Linked DNA regions of Struthio camelus. The protein of the gene in region 1 interacts with the protein of each later gene in a pairwise test. Links are inferred from orthologs where the notes say so. Each region holds a gene or a part of one and is shown on either strand. Other genes may lie near its edges.

Region 1 (7,517 bases):
CCCTCTGGGCAACCTGTTCCACCGCTAATCTACTTTCCCCCCCCTTTTTCAGGGAAATTTGGGCCCAGTGAATCTGTTTTCGCAGCAGCGCGAGTTCCCAGGGGTTTCGTCCCAGCTGTGGAGGAACGGCTTCACGATTCGACTGCGATTTAAAGGCAGAGTTTCAACGGACCCGAAGCGGGACTCGTCCTGCCAACCCGGCAGATACAGAGACTGGATTACTTCTTCCCTCTTTGCAGCCCTCAGCTTCCCTGCTCCAGGCAGCGGCAACACCAAACGCTCCAAAAGCGGATCCGAGGCCCCCAAAATAGAGGCCAGTTAATCTGCTTCCCACGTTGGGTTTCATCGCCGTCTCTAATAATTCAGAGATCAACTCGAGCCCTAAAGCGTGAGGTCTAGCGTCTCACCACGCGTTTCGGGGAGCGCTCATTGCAACAGCTCCGCGGCACCCGCCCCCTTTTCCCAGCTTGTGTTAAGATTAGCTCGTTTAGCTAATTTCCCACGGCCGCACCCGGCGTAAAGCTTGTTTCCTTTTGATCCGGTTGCAGGGACTTACGCTTCATCACGCGGCACAGAGGGCCGCCGCTCCTGAACTTTCTCAGGCTCTCACCGATGGACAGAGCAGCAAGTTTTCAACCCTGAACCCTGGCAGCTCCACAGACTATTTATAAAGGGTCCACAAAAAGGTAATTAAGGCTTAAATTCATTATATAGGGGCGCACAGGTCTGGTGAAAAACACTCCAGGGTCCAGAAATCAAGTGAGCAAGGACAAGAGTTAATGACTGCCACAGAAAACGAAGCCGGTAACTCCTATCTATCTTCCTAGCAAACGTTTCCGAATATCCGCTCAACCCAATGGCCTCTTTCCTGTGCTCTGGCAGCCCATTTGAACAGGGCACTGGGTGTATTCCCCCAGGGTGGTGCCCTATCAGCTTCATTTATTAGTCAGCTTCGTTATTTAGGTACCTTCAAGGGGGAGGTAACAGCTTGAATTAGATCAGCTGAGAGAGCTGGGGGGAGGATAGTCACCTGGGTAAAATGCAGCTATTTCTGGGGGAAAACCTTGTGTAAAAGCAGACCTAAAAGAGGAGCGCAAAAGACTTGCGCCAGGAGATGCACAAGCAAAAAAACAAAAACAAAATTTGGGAAGAGATTCCTCATTCGAGGCTCTTTCCAGCAGCCGCTAGAAGGCTGCATGTGTCGCAGATCCTCTTCTGGGGGGGAGAAAAAAAAGTTTCACCTTTGCAGCACAAAAGAGGGATGTTTGCTGGGGAGGTGAACGCGCATCCCCTTGCTGAGCTGGAGGCACGATGGGATGGGGAATACGGGTCTTCCAGAGCAGCGGGAAAAACCCTGGCGGATGCGTTTTGGGGTGGGGGGGCTGCTGCGACCCTGGCCCGCGTCGCCCAGCGCCGCCCTCACGGAAACCCGCAGGGAAGAATTGGTCTCTTCTGGTTGTTGCAGGACGTGGCCCAAGCGGGCATCTCCCGCGCGCAGCAGCCCGTTCCCTGGCAGCCGAAAACACGCCGCGACGTAGCTGAGGAGACTCGCCGGGCTCGGCCGCGTCCGGGCGGAGAAACATCCGCCGGCGGTTTGGGGCGCGGATCGACTCGGGCGAGGCCGCCTCGCACCCCAGCTCCGCGCCTCGGTTTCCCCCCTTCGCCGGGCAACCCCACCTTTGAGCGGACGGGGAGCTTCATTGCATTCCCTGCCCCGATTCCCGCTGGAGCGGCTACGGGCTGAAATCCTTCCCTGGAAAAACTACGGGAACAGCTCGAACCCAGCAACAACCACCCAAGCCGACGCGTGAGCCGAGCCCTTCCCCGGGCGGCGGGGGCGAGAGCCGGGAATTCCCCGGTGGGACGCGGGAGCTTTTAATCGCCTGCTCCGAGTTTCTTTTCATCTTCCTCGGAAGCAGATGGATCTGGGTGGGAGCAGGGCACAGGTCGTTCCGATATCCCTGTATCGGAGCCAAAGTCCCGACACCGGATATCTTCGGCGCCTTCCCAGCTATGCTGACACAGCCGCGGATTTAAAACCTGCCAGGGCCCTCCGCGCTTTTACGCCGCGATCCTTTCCTCCGCCTCGCTCTGGGCAGGGAGGATCCGGCCGCTGGCGTTTCGAGCGCGATATCTATTTCAAGGATCACGAATCAGCTCGTTTTAATCCCGAGCCGGGTAGAAACTTCACAGCTGGTTGCTAAAATTACCAAGCAGCGCACTGAGCATAGCTGGATCGGTAGCAAAAAAAAAGGAGGCAATTGGGTCTTTTTATAGATAACACGTAAGCGATCCCCCCCCCCCCCCCAGATTTAAAATAGGCTGGATTCGATTTCGGCTGCGGTATCGTCTCCAGCGGGCGAGAATTTGCTTCTGCCTCCTCCCTTCTCGGTTGAAAAAAAAAAAAAAAGTGCCCCAGCTCGACTCCGGGCGAGCTGTGCCGATTCCCGAATTCATCCGCTGGGAAAGCAAACGCCACGGAGGGTCTCGGAGCTGGCGGCAAGCAGACGGGATGAGATAAGCGGCACGATGGGATTTCAGGACTGGATTCGTGGGTCGGTGGCGGCAGGGAAGCAGGGGGGAAACATGACAGCAGCGACCGGAGAAACAAAAACTTCCTTCCTAGCGTGGAAAAGCCGCGTCCCTCCCCGGCACACGCGCAGCTTATCTTCCGCATCGCTTCCCCGTTCGGCAGCGCTCCGGGAACGAGCCGCGTTTTGCAAGCCGGGAAACGGAGGCGCCGCACGGAGTCAGGAAGAGAGACAGGAGACGGGAAGGGAAACGGGCCGGTACCGCAGCAGGCCTTCCCGGCGGGGACGGGAGCATCGCTCTGCGGGCGACGGAGGTGGGATGCTTCAGGAGCCGGGATGCCCCAGGGGCTTCGCCGTAGGGAAACGCCACTCTGGCGTGCGTCCCCCTCCCGCCACCCCCGCAACCAGAAAACCGAAACCTCCGCCAAGGCGCCGGCCTCCCCGGTACTCACCGCCGCCACCGAGCCGCCACCTTCGTCTTCCTCCCGTCTTTTGCGATCTCGCGCACCCGACTGCGATGAGCCGCATCCAGCCGGCGCTCTGTTCCCTCCCTCGCCGCCCCGGCCAATGCTGGAGCGACGGCGCTGGCCGGCCCCGAGCCCTGGCAAGCCCCACCCCGGGCCCAGCGCGCCGCCTCGGCTCCCCGCTTCTCCCGGTGCCGACGTTTGCTCTCAACGGAGCCTCGGCCGCCGCCAACGGAACGAGAACGGTAGCGTTTTTCCAGCCTTTCTGACTGCCCGGCAGCAAAACAGCAGCGTTTCGCAGGAGCCCGTCGCCACGGCTTTTCCCCATCGGATGCTGCCGGCGGGAGGACTCGCAAGACGGCGGCGGTGGGGGGGGATTAAGCGCAAAACGGGATAAAAAGCTGCGTCCACTCCAGCCGCTAAGGGAGGATTCCCTACGGAGCGAACGTGGATGGAGCGGCATTACTCATCCATCCAAAATAATCCCTGGGAATTCCCACCGATTCGACCCCCCCCCCGGTTTCCCAGCTAACAGAATTAAGTTTCGGCTCGGGGACGTGGCGCTGGAAAGAGCCCGGCTGTTTCGTTCTGCCGCCGCGAGCTCACGGACGGAGGGGTGGAACTAAACGTCAGCCCGGTTTGAGTTCGGAGTCAGGCCTGAAAGGACGCGGCCGAGTTAAAACGCTCCCGGCCGGATCCCCCGCTCGTTAAAATTGCAGATTAGCCTCCTCAAGAGGAGCTGGTGGCGTGTGATTAAGAGGCAAGAGACACTCCGGGCAGGACACCGGATCGCAACAGCCGACGCCGGGTGCTTCGTTCACCTCAGATCCCCCCCCGGCGAAAAGCCCCGAGTTCCCCCTTGACGTGGCACCCTTCGCCCCAGCTCGCGCGTTTTAGCTAAAAACACCCTTTTTGTGAGGGAAACTGAGGCCAAGCCCAGCCCAAACCTGGCTCCGGAACATGCGCAGGCTGGTTAAACGCATATAGAGTTGTCCGTGGCGGAGCTGAAGCGTCGCTAGAAAGGGCCGAAAGCGGCTGTTAGCTCTGTTTTGTCTTTATTTTTTCCCCCACCCTCTGACGTGTTTTAAAATACAGTCTCACACTTTGAGCGGCGACCAACAACCCTTCGGGGAAGGACTCGGGTATCGGGCAGAGGCGACGCTGCCCTCGCGGTGCTCCGAGTTTTAAGGACGCTGCGGAGGCTGGAGCTAGCGCTCATTAGGACGGCAAGCCCATTAGGCGGAAAAATTAGCGAGGGAAGACCAAGCACGCGGTTTCCCTCGCTCGGCACCGACTGACGAGGTTTCTTTTCCGGTTTCCCACAGCCTGTAATCGCCACGGCAGCCGAAGGCAGGAGACCAGCGAGCGAGACGGCCGCCTGTGCAACCCCTCGCTGGTGTAAGGCGTCGTGAATATCCAGGCGAAAAAAAAAAGGGAGGAGGGAAAAAAAATTTAAAAAGCACTTTCTGCACCCAAATTCCCCAGCGCCGGCGGGCACCCAGCTCCGCGCCGTTGGCGTTCAGTTTTGGGGGGAAAGAACGCAAATCCAGGGGGCTAATCGGGTCAACTCCCCCCCGCAAAGCGCCGAAACCCACAGATTAATTGCGTTAGGGCATTGCGGTTTTTTTTTCTTTTTATACGCAAAATTCAAAGTGCATTTTATTTGCTTCCCTGAAGGAACAGCCCAGCTTGGCAGCAGGTGACGCCAAGGGAGGCTCCTGCCACGCTCGGGCCAACTCCAGCACCCACCTGGCGTTTGGTTGTTTCCTTTTGCAGGTGCCAAAATACACAAAAAAAGCAGCCCGAAAGCAGCAGTCCTGAGGCTACGCGGAGGGAGAGGGCCAAAGAGATCGGCTTCGTCCCGTCTCCCGCCGTCGTTCCGCCCAGCGGAGGCTTAAATTTTGACAACTTGGGCGGCAACGCAAGGGCTCTTCCGCTCCCCCTCCGCGTCGTGCCGCCGCACGTACAGGCGCCCGTAGGTCCCGCCGACCTGCCCCTTCGTCAGGCGGCCGGGATTGATGCACACGCAGCCCAGGACGTCCTGCGGAGAAAGAGCCGGCGCGTTAAAACCGATCCCAGCTTACGTCCAAGGAGAATTTCCCAGGGGGAATTTCGGCACGGGAGAGCGGACAAAGCCCGCTCCGCTTTACCTTGACGAAGTACCTCAGCTCCGAGGGGGCGACGAGGACGTCCGGCGTGACGGGCAGGGCCGCGTAGCTGTAGAAGTTCTCGTAGTCCACGTTCATCTCCTCCGCGGGCGGGTAGAGCGGGTAATAACTGCCGGAGAGAGCAGAGAGAGGTTGTCCGCGCTTCCGCGTCCTCCGGCATCGCGAGAGCGCCGACGCCTCCTCACGGCGGAGGAAGCCGGCTGGGCGTTAAACCGGATTCAGTTTTGGTGTTAGAACATAGCTTTTGGGTCAAATTTACATCAGCGTACAGCTGCCGCTCTTTTACAGTCTGTTCAAGGGGAACAAGCGGGAGCTCGGAGCTAATCTGGAGAGCCATAAAACCACCGGATCGTTCCGGAGTGGGCAGTTATTCCTATTCCTTTTACCCCGTCCTCAGGCATCTGCTACCGGCCGTTCTCGGGACACCGGCCTGGAAAATCCGACCCAGTTGCGTCCTGCGGGACGGCGCAGGCCGGTCTGGAAGACGTACGGCATTAAGCACCCCCAAATCGCGCATCTAGAGGGTTATCGAATTCAAAAAGGAGCATTTTGACTTGAAAAACGTCACCCTAAGCGGGGCGGGAGGGACGGCAGCGCGCCATTTCAGTTGTTTTGCCCTTTTTCGGCAGGGCTAGGCGACAATCCAGGAACTCGCCTCACCTCCTCTGCGTCAGGACGTGCTTGAGGATCCGCGTGAACCTGTCCGAGATGCCCGAGGAGCTGTAAGAGACCGAAAACAAGCTATAAAAGGAGTCGGGGCGGGGGGGGGGGGAATAAAAGGTAGCGCTTAAGCTCGTTTGTGAGGTCACTGTTGACATGCTGCGCCGCTCAATTAGCCAGCGGGCCTGATTAGCGACGCAGGCAAGCGGCTAACGAAGCGTTTTGTTCTGCCCAGCACCGCGGGCTCGGGCCAGCTCTTCCTCCGAGCCCCGCAAACGGAGCGCGACGCGCCAGGAGAAAAACAGCCCGAGCAGAGAAACGCCGGTGGCATTTTGTTCGCCAAGGCGGGATGCCAGAGAGGCAAAACGGAGCGAAACGACCCCGGAGGGAGCGGCTGAGGCTTCTCTCCGCAGGAGCGGCTAAAACCCGGCGAGTCTGGGTCTGGGTTCGGCAGCTCCCGCCGCGAAAACGTGGCAAGGGACCGCTGCCGCCTCCGGGCGCCCACCTGCTGATCTCCTCGGCCCCCATGTGGAAGAGCAGGTCGGTGGAGGTCAAGCCGAAGACGGTGCCGTTGATTTCCAGGGTGCAGGGGTCCGAGACGAAGTGGACGCGCTGAAACGAGAAGGGGGACGCGATGGGTTTTTCCGGCAAGGGCGCCGCCGGCATCTCCGAATCCGTCTAAACCCGAGGGACGGGCTGGGGAGTCGCCCGACGCCACGACAGCGGCGTGGAAGCTCCTCGGTCAGAAACGCGTTAAATTAGGAAAAAGAGGGTTAGGAGACGCGTAGGGCTGGGCTCTACAAATCCGCCTCAAACGATGCGTTTTTCCTGGCAAAACCATCTTGATATCTTTTACGGCATTCCTTATTTCCCCGCGTCTCGGGGAGCCCCACGACCTCACGAGCGGGACACAGGGGCAGGAGCAGCCAGGACATCCGTTCCCAGCTCCTCCTCCTGGTCAGAGGAGGTTTCCCTGGCGCTCTCGCTTTCTCACCCGCGAGCGAGTAGAAATAAAGTGAATCGCAGCTGGATTCTCCCGGGAAGCCTGAGCTCCGCTGATTTTTGCTCCTCAGGGAGCTCCCAAGCGGATCCTGCCAGCGAGAACCGCTGCCGGTCCTTTCCGGACGGGTCCGCTCTACAGGCCGAGGGCAAACCCGCAAGAAAGACGCCGCTTTTCGCCCCAAACGAGCGACCAAAACCCGTTATCCCGTTTCGCTCGAGGACGGGTTTGATTTCGAGGACGTTACCGGCTTGTCCTCCTTCGGCAGCTCGGGGTAGGCGAAGGGCGGCTGCGGGTACACGTAGTCGTGGTGAACGTCCCGCAGCGACGGCACGAAGACGAGCTGAGAGCCGGCGCTGCCGGGAAGAGAGCGACCCGTTACGGGGGAGAAAACGGGAGCCGAAGCCACGCAGGTCGCCCGCTCCCGCTTCAGCTTTTAAGGCATCGAAACGCGGCGGGCGCCCGCTCCGGGTGGACGAGCTGCGGCCGGGCGGCCTCAGAAAGCCCCGCGTCGGGGGCACAGGCTCTGGGAGGATCAAAATCCCCCTCGAGCCCCCAAAATCCCCTTATCTCCTTTTCCCACCCAAGCTGCGAAGCCGGCAGCAGAGCTACCCCACACCCGAGGCTCGGACCGCGCCGTGTTTTCGGAGCACTTTTTACACCAGATTCGGCCACAAAAAGGGCTCCGGTTTCC
Region 2 (7,559 bases), on another chromosome or scaffold:
CAAATTACCTTATTGGGGAAATTACAGAAACAAAATTGCCATTCAAGGAGCACATTTCAACCTACTATAGCAGACCCAACCACAGTGACCGTACAACCAGGGCTGCATGAGACAATGTGAAAGGACTTCAGTCTTTCAACTGCAGAGACGCAAGCAAAATTAATCTGTTAATACAACGAGAGGGAGGTGGGACTGGCGAATGGAGGTAGAGCATATTAAAGCAACGCTGCGAGATACGGGTGTTTGCGTGCAGTACCCTGGGCGCCGGATCGCCCCTCAGCACCAAAATAGCCAGCTGCATGTGTCAGAACTTCCTTCTCTTGCAGAACTCAAAACAAAAAAAAACTGGAGCATTTTGCAGTTTTAACCCTCACCCAGCGCCTCTCCTACAAACAATAATCTCCGTTTCCGTTTGCAGGGACGGCTCAGGAGGAGGAGACGGCACAGCCGGGAGCACGGCCCCGCAGCCCCCGGCAGCCCTCCCAGCGGCATCGCGGGCTTCCCGCGGCCGTCACCCCCCGAGCTCCTGAGCCCCCGCCAAGGGCACCCGTGCCCCGGTCGCTGCCGGCAGGGCTCCAGCGGCGTCGCGCTGCCTCTTGGCCAGGTCGCAAGGACACCCCCAGCAGGAAACAAAAAACTTCAGTTTCCAGGCAACCCGAAGCTCTGCTCAGCTGGGATCCTCGCGCGGGCGCAGCGAGAGGCTGCTTCTCGCCAGCTGCCTTTGCCGCACGCACCTCAGATGGGAGGATAATCCCGGGGGTTTTGCGACGTCCGCGGGGAGCGAGGCCGGCGACCCTCGGCCGAGGGCAGCCAGCCCCGCAGGGAGACACGCTCCCACCCGTCTCCCTTCAGGGCGGCCAGAAACAGGGCACTAACCGTTGCACGTGCACCCATCACCCCTTAAACAGGACCAAGTCCAGAGGCAGAGCTGGGGACAGGCACAGCACTGCCTGTGTCCCCTGTCCCCTCCCCACAACAAACCCGTCGCTGGGGATTTCGGACGGGAGAGACTGGCACGGGCAGAAAGCTGTGGAGAGAGATAGGCCTCCCCGCAGGCAGCAAAGCGACAGTGCAACCTGCAGAGCGCTGCTCTGCCGCTGCCTTCACCCGGCCCTTCCCCGCAGCAGGAGGCGGCTGGACCCGAGCCGGGGCGCACCGGCATGCCACCAGGTGTTTCCTGCCCCATTACACCCATGCATGGCACAACACCGCTCCCTCAACACAGGTGAGGGGCAGGTGGGCCACAGAGAGGGACCAGGACCACCATGAGGGATGGGGCCAGGTGGACCACAATGAGTCAGGGGGACCAGGCAGGCAGGTCATGATGGACCAGGGCAGCTGCCATGGCCCAGGTCAATTCCCAGGCACTGAGTGGACCAGGACAGCTGCCTTGGCCCAGGTAGACTCCCATGCACCGTGGACCATCGTGAGCCAGGACAGCTACCTTGGACCAGGTGGACCATGGTGAGCAAGGACAGCTGCCTCAGCCCAGGTGGACTCCCATGCACCAGGCAGACCATGGTGAGCAAGGACAGCTGCCTCAGCCCAGGTGGACTCCCATGCACCAGGCGGACCATGGTGAGCAAGGACAGCTGCCTCAGCCCAGGTGGACTCCCATGCACCAGGCGGACCATGGTGAGCAAGGACAGCTACCTCAGCCCAGGTGGACTCCCATGCACCAGGTGGGCCAGGACAGCTGCCTCAGCTCAGGTGGACTCCCATGCACCAGGCGGACCATGGTGAGCAAGGACAGCTATCTCAGCCCAGGTGGACTCCCATGGACCAGGTGGGCCAGGACAGCTGCCTCAGCCCAGGTGGACTCCCATGTACCAGGTGGGCCATGGTGGGCCAGGACAGCTGCCTCAGCCCAGGTGGACTCCCATGCACCAGGTGGGCCAGGACAGCTGCCTCAGCTCAGGTGGACTCCCATGCACCAGGCAGACCATCATTAGCCAGGACAGCTGCCTCAGCCCAGGTGGACTCCCATGGACCAGGTGGGCCAGGACAGCTGCCTCAGCCCAGGTGGACTCCCATGGACCAGGCGGACCATGGTGAGCAAGGACAGCTGCCTCAGCCCAGGTGGACTCCCATGCACCAGGCGGACCATGGTGAGCAAGGACAGCTGCCTCAGCCCAGGTGGACTCCCATGCACCAGGCGGACCATGGTGAGCAAGGACAGCTGCCTCAGCCCAGGTGGACTCCCATGCACCAGGCGGACCATGGTGAGCAAGGACAGCTGCCTCAGCCCAGGTGGACTCCCATGTACCAGGTGGACCATGGTGGGCAAGGACAGCTGCCTCAGCCCAGGTGGACTCCCATGCACCAGGTGGGCCAGGACAGCTGCCTCAGCTCAGGTGGACTCCCATGCACCAGGCGGACCATGGTGAGCAAGGACAGCTACCTCAGCCCAGGTGGACTCCCATGCACCAGGCGGACCATGGTGAGCAAGGACAGCTACCTCAGCCCAGGTGGACTCCCATGGACCAGGCGGACCATGGTGGGCCAGGACAGCTGCCTCAGCCCAGGTGGACTCCCATGGACCAGGCGGACCATGGTGGGCCAGGACAGCTGCCTCAGCTCAGGTGGACTCCCATGCACCAGGTGGGCCATGGTGGGCCAGGACAGCTGCCTCAGCCCAGGTGGACTCCCATGCACCAGGTGGGCCAGGACAGCTGCCTCAGCTCAGGTGGACTCCCATGCACCAGGCGGACCATGGTGAGCAAGGACAGCTATCTCAGCCCAGGTGGACTCCCATGGACCAGGTGGGCCAGGACAGCTGCCTCAGCCCAGGTGGACTCCCATGGACCAGGTGGGCCAGGAACCAGGCAGCCCGCACCAGACCGGACGGGGGGCTCCGCGGGAAGGGACCGGCACCCCCGGGACCTCACTTACTCTTGAGGGCGCCGATGAGCGACTTCCCGTCCTTGATGAGCTCCTTGATGAACTTGTTGGTCTTCTCCAGCTCGGCCTCGTGGGAGCGGAGGCGCTCCCGGAACTGGGGGCTATCCAGGCAGCACTCGCTGAACTCCAACGCCGGCAGCCCCATGCTGCCGGCCGCGGGGGAGGAGGGGAAAAAAAAAAAAAACCCTAAATTAAATTTTAAAAACGAGAAAAACGGGAGAGCTTAAAAGGCGCAGCGCGCGCCGGCGGGGGGAGGCGGCCCCGCCGCGGGGCGCGCCCCGGGCCGAGCGGGCCGGGCCGGGCCGGGCCGGGCCGGGCAGCGCGAGCGGCGCGGAGCGAGAGGCGCGGCGGGGGGCGGTGCTGCCGCCGCGCTGGGGGCCGCCGCCCGGGCACGGCTGGCGGCGCGGCGCAGCGCGGCCCGGCCCGGCCCGGCCCGGCGCGACCCGCCTCCCTCCCGCCTCCCAGCCGAGCCCCGCCCCGCCGCCCGCCGCCAGCCAATGGGAACGCGCCTCGCCCCCGGCCCCGCCTCCCACCTCGCGCCGCGCCCCCCCCGGCCCCGCCTCGCGCCGCGCCGAACCTCGCCCTCGGGCCGAAGCGACTGGCCCCTTTCGAACGCGGCGCCGCCCCTCGGCCAATCAGCGGCGCCGCTGCCCGCCGAGGGGCGGGGCGGGGCCTGCCCGCGCCGCTGTGAGGGGATCGATCCGGATCGATCCGGACGGCGGCGCGTTGCCCGCGCGGCGTCGAGCAGCCGCTGCCTCCCCCCCCCCCCCCCCGCTGCCCACCAGCCCTCCGGGTTTTCCCTTCCATTCAGCATCAGCCACGCGGATTATGGCCCCGGGTTTAACAGCGCGGCTGGAGGAAATCCCTCCCGTCAGCCCTGGAAACGGCGCCTCACGCCAGGGCCGAGCGTCGCCCAGCGCCCCAGCCCGGGGGCGCCCGGCGCGCCCTGCTCGCTCAGGCCCGGGAGGCGAGGAAAAAGGAAAAATTGAAAAAGTTAGGAAAAAGAAAAAAAAAGGAAGAAACAGTGTCAGTGCTGGCCCGCTAGACTGGGAACAACGCGTGCCTTGAGTACGTGGCGGAGCCGAGGTCGGGGCGAGCTGATCGCAGCCGGAGGTTCGGGCCTCAAACAGTCCGCGCGCTGTGGCATAGCTGGAGACGGGGTTTTGCAGACACCTCGTTTTCGCTGAGCCCTGCTCACCGGCCCCAACCGCGCGCAGCAGAAGCCGTTAACGTGGACACCAGCGAATGGCTCATCCACGCGCAGGCGAGCCCGAGCTCGCTCTCGCTAACGGTGGCTTCCCACCCTTGCAGCAGCATCACTCTGGCCGGTGACAAGCGGGCACATTTGCTGGTAATCCCTGGATGCCTGGAATTCCCCCTCCCTAGGAGCCTGGAAGTTCAGCTATTCCAGCTTGCGCAAGCTGGCGAGGAGGAGGCCGCGAGGCTGCCGTTCAGCACGCACGAATCCTCGAGCTACGCAGCAAATGTATTCGGGATCAAGCGCGGCGACAGGACGGCATTCCTGTCCAGTCAGCCGTGAAACACGATGCGGAGCTGGTGCCAGCTTGATGCTTATTTGCAAACTGGGGAAGAGAGACGTGGTCCTGCACAAAGTTTAGACCCCGTGTAACACCGACAATATGTGGCCCAGCACAAGCCTGGTGCTACAGTTAATCCATCTGTGTTTTCTAGTGAACGTGTCCAGGCATAGTGACCTGATACTAACGCAATCCCTTGCCACCCGCTGCTTTTTCCCCGCTAAAGGTCTAAAGCACAATTTTCTCTATCGTCACGCCACAGCCTAATTCTAGCCGAGTCACTGCCTTCAAGTGTGGTTGATGAGCCACATCTTTTTGCATGAGATTTCCTAATTATAAAGTGGATGTAATACTAATTAAATGCTTATCTTAAAAAAGCAGGGTATAAAGTTTAATTAGCTGTAATTTATGCCCTATGCATACAACCCTGTAAAAGCACTAGTTATTTGTATTTGCTCCTTTATTCTAGGCTGTACAAAGCCACAGCAGCACATTTTTTGGTTTTATCCTTCTACATTGCTACTGCTTATATTAAAACAGTGTTCCAGCACTTACAGCTAATAGAGCAGAACCTGTAACTAGATTTATAGGACGCTGCCTTAGAGGATCAGAGTATTTGGGACTGGAAACAATTTTTGTGCTCAACTTTTCCACCTCTCCAGAATCACAGAAAGTAATGGTGTTGAGACCATCATTTTATGATGAGGACGAAACTGAGATGTTACAAAGCTCTCTCACATGCACAGTATCACACACACGCGCACCAGGAGCAGAACCCAGGCCTCTAGCATGCAGCAATCAATGCACCAGATATGAACTTGTCCTCCCTTCCGCCTGCTTGCTTACACTGTGCTCCTCATTAGGTCTGAGCTCCCAGAGTGTCACTCTTGGCAGAAGCAGGGCAGCAGGCAATGGGGAGAAACAGCCGCTGATATACTCCAGCCAAGCTTTGCTGGGATCATACATCCCAACTGTAGAAGAACAGCAAAGGAAAAACAAACAAAACAAAAAAACAAAAATTGAGAATCAAAACTTCCACGTTCTCCTGTCTGTGGCTAAGAGTTTGCATCCCTCATGTATTTGCCTGCCTGCTTTGAGCTTTTTTTTTGTTTGCTTGTTTGGTTTTTTTTTTAGCAACTTTGTCTTACGTTCCAGTGAGCTAAGTCAATTTGACACTGTACATGGCTCTGGTAATACTTCCATTTAAACCAACAGAAACATTCCTAGTGATCCTAGCGGGTGCAGAATTTGGCCTGTCATTAGTCTCTAGCGAGTACTTTTCTGTGCTTCTCTAAAGCTGTGCTTACACATAGCTGAGGCAGATCAAAGTTGCTGCCACCGCAATCCCCCACTCCCACCCATGAGCTTGTCCTTGACCATGCATTAACACGTTCTCTCTTGCATAGTCCCTGACGCTCATCCCACAATTAGAGCCCTCAGAGGGCTGAGTCAGCAGAAAACTAATCCAGCATTTAACAAACAAAAAGAAAAAAAAGGAACAGTTTCTACCTAGTTTAGCTCACTGTGTGATCAGATAACCACTGGTGTTGATGCAAGTGCATGGGCCGCTACTGTCCTGACCAAGCGGGAGAAAGGAAGAGTGCCGTAGTGTCAACTCGCATCAGCTCCAGCTACTGTTCCCAGCCTCCCCTTGCACCAGCATTAGCTCTTGGTGGGTCAGGCAATCAGCTGGATTAGGCAGCTTTGTCTGAAAATGAACAATTATTTGCGTAGAATTAGTTCAGCTGGATCAGCTCCCGAATCCGGCTGAGCACATGACCTCTCCCCTGCTTCCCTTTTGCTGACCCACCACAAGCAGCATTTTCCTGCCCCCTTCCTTGTGCTTCCTGTAGTGTTTACAGGACCTTCTTTGAAAGAAAATCAGCTATTAACATGGTAGAAATCAACCACTTCTCCTTTTCTGGAGAAATTTTCTGCCAGTTAAGCGGGATAAGTGAGGTCCCAGAAGGGTTGACAGCACCAGAGCTGGCACAAGACCCACAGGGACAGCAGGAGCAGGGAGGGGATGGGGCAGTGGCCCGTTCCCCTTTCAATGGCACAGAGCTGCTGTCAGCTCACTGCATCTCACAGGCCCATCTCTGCTGTAGAGCAACCCAGACAGATGCAGAGACAGGCCTCGGGGAGGCAACGAGGCCCGTGTTACAGTGCATGCATCCGCGTACAATTACTACACTGTCTGTCAGGAGATGTTAAACCCAGTCACCTTCCAGGTATCTTGCATCAGTGAGTTTGGAGGCTATCTTCAGACTGCTGACGTTCACCAGCCTAAGCCTGTAGTTTCCGCTGTTTGTGGAAATAAGGACCAGTGCCATAGAGGGGCCAGAGAAACAGAGAGAACGAAGGTGGTAAAACCACCCATTAATTAGATCCCAAAGCTAACAGAGTGGGACACGCAAACATTTATTTAAAACCCAGGAGAATACAGTAGGCATTTTGACTATTAGAAACCAGGAGCCACATGAGAAGTTTCTTGGAATTGCCCTCAAGCAGCAGTGTTCAAGGTCCGTTTATTATGCGACTACATATCACCCATGTCTCTCTTGCTCTCAAGGATTTTTTTTGAGCTGGGCACAGAGGAAGCATTGTATATGAAAAAAAAAAGTTACAAATAATACATTAGACCTTTGCAATGAATCTGTATGAATTCCCTGTTATAAACCAAAGGGCATGTATTGACCTATTGTACTGACAACCTTTTGAGGGATCAGATCGTTGGGTCTGGACTTTTTGTTAGTTATGAATACTACACTCTGAAGCAGACATTCTTAGAGCTCCCCCTTCTTCTCCAATGCAGTCATGTCACCCTGGAAACATGCTTTGGGTGTATTTTTGTCTGATAGATCTTTTCCATGTGGCTGCAGCAAACAGTCTTAAGAGACACCTTCAGCATGATAAAGAGCGCTCCCGCTACTGAATGCTAGTGTGTTTTACATATAACAAACATGATTAATATGATTTTACATATTTTTTTTGCCATGGAACGATGTCCGAGTCACACCTCCTGCAGTAGCATCCATGACTTTCCACTATCATCAAGGGAATTTCTCCTCGATTCCTCTTTTCCTTTTTCAGCTTATGTCTTCTTTTGTCCTTGCAGTC

What was found.
Region 2: the proteins of CDC42EP2 (region 1) and ARHGAP26 interact in binary tests that used the Homo sapiens proteins (3 or more experiments, as listed by UniProt). The two-hybrid records come from large-scale screens. The link is inferred for Struthio camelus from reciprocal best matches to the Homo sapiens genes CDC42EP2 and ARHGAP26.

The regions. Positions count from the first base shown.
Region 1 is NC_090976.1:824,222-831,738, reverse strand, and holds the start of CDC42EP2 (cdc42 effector protein 2), read right to left. Parts: upstream 3,184-7,517; 5' UTR 2,984-3,183; intron 1,918-2,983; exon of another isoform or gene 1,678-1,917; intron 1-1,677. Other genes in the region: POLA2 (DNA polymerase alpha subunit B), read right to left, coding at 4,890-5,036, 5,146-5,272, 5,824-5,883, 6,329-6,435, 7,071-7,179. UniProt on the Homo sapiens protein: Probably involved in the organization of the actin cytoskeleton. May act downstream of CDC42 to induce actin filament assembly leading to cell shape changes. Induces pseudopodia formation in fibroblasts in a CDC42-dependent manner.
Region 2 is NC_090954.1:1,927,686-1,935,244, forward strand, and holds the start of ARHGAP26 (rho GTPase-activating protein 26), read right to left. Parts: upstream 3,201-7,559; 5' UTR 3,047-3,200; coding exon 2,893-3,046; intron 1-2,892. UniProt on the Homo sapiens protein: GTPase-activating protein for RHOA and CDC42. Facilitates mitochondrial quality control by promoting Parkin-mediated recruitment of autophagosomes to damaged mitochondria.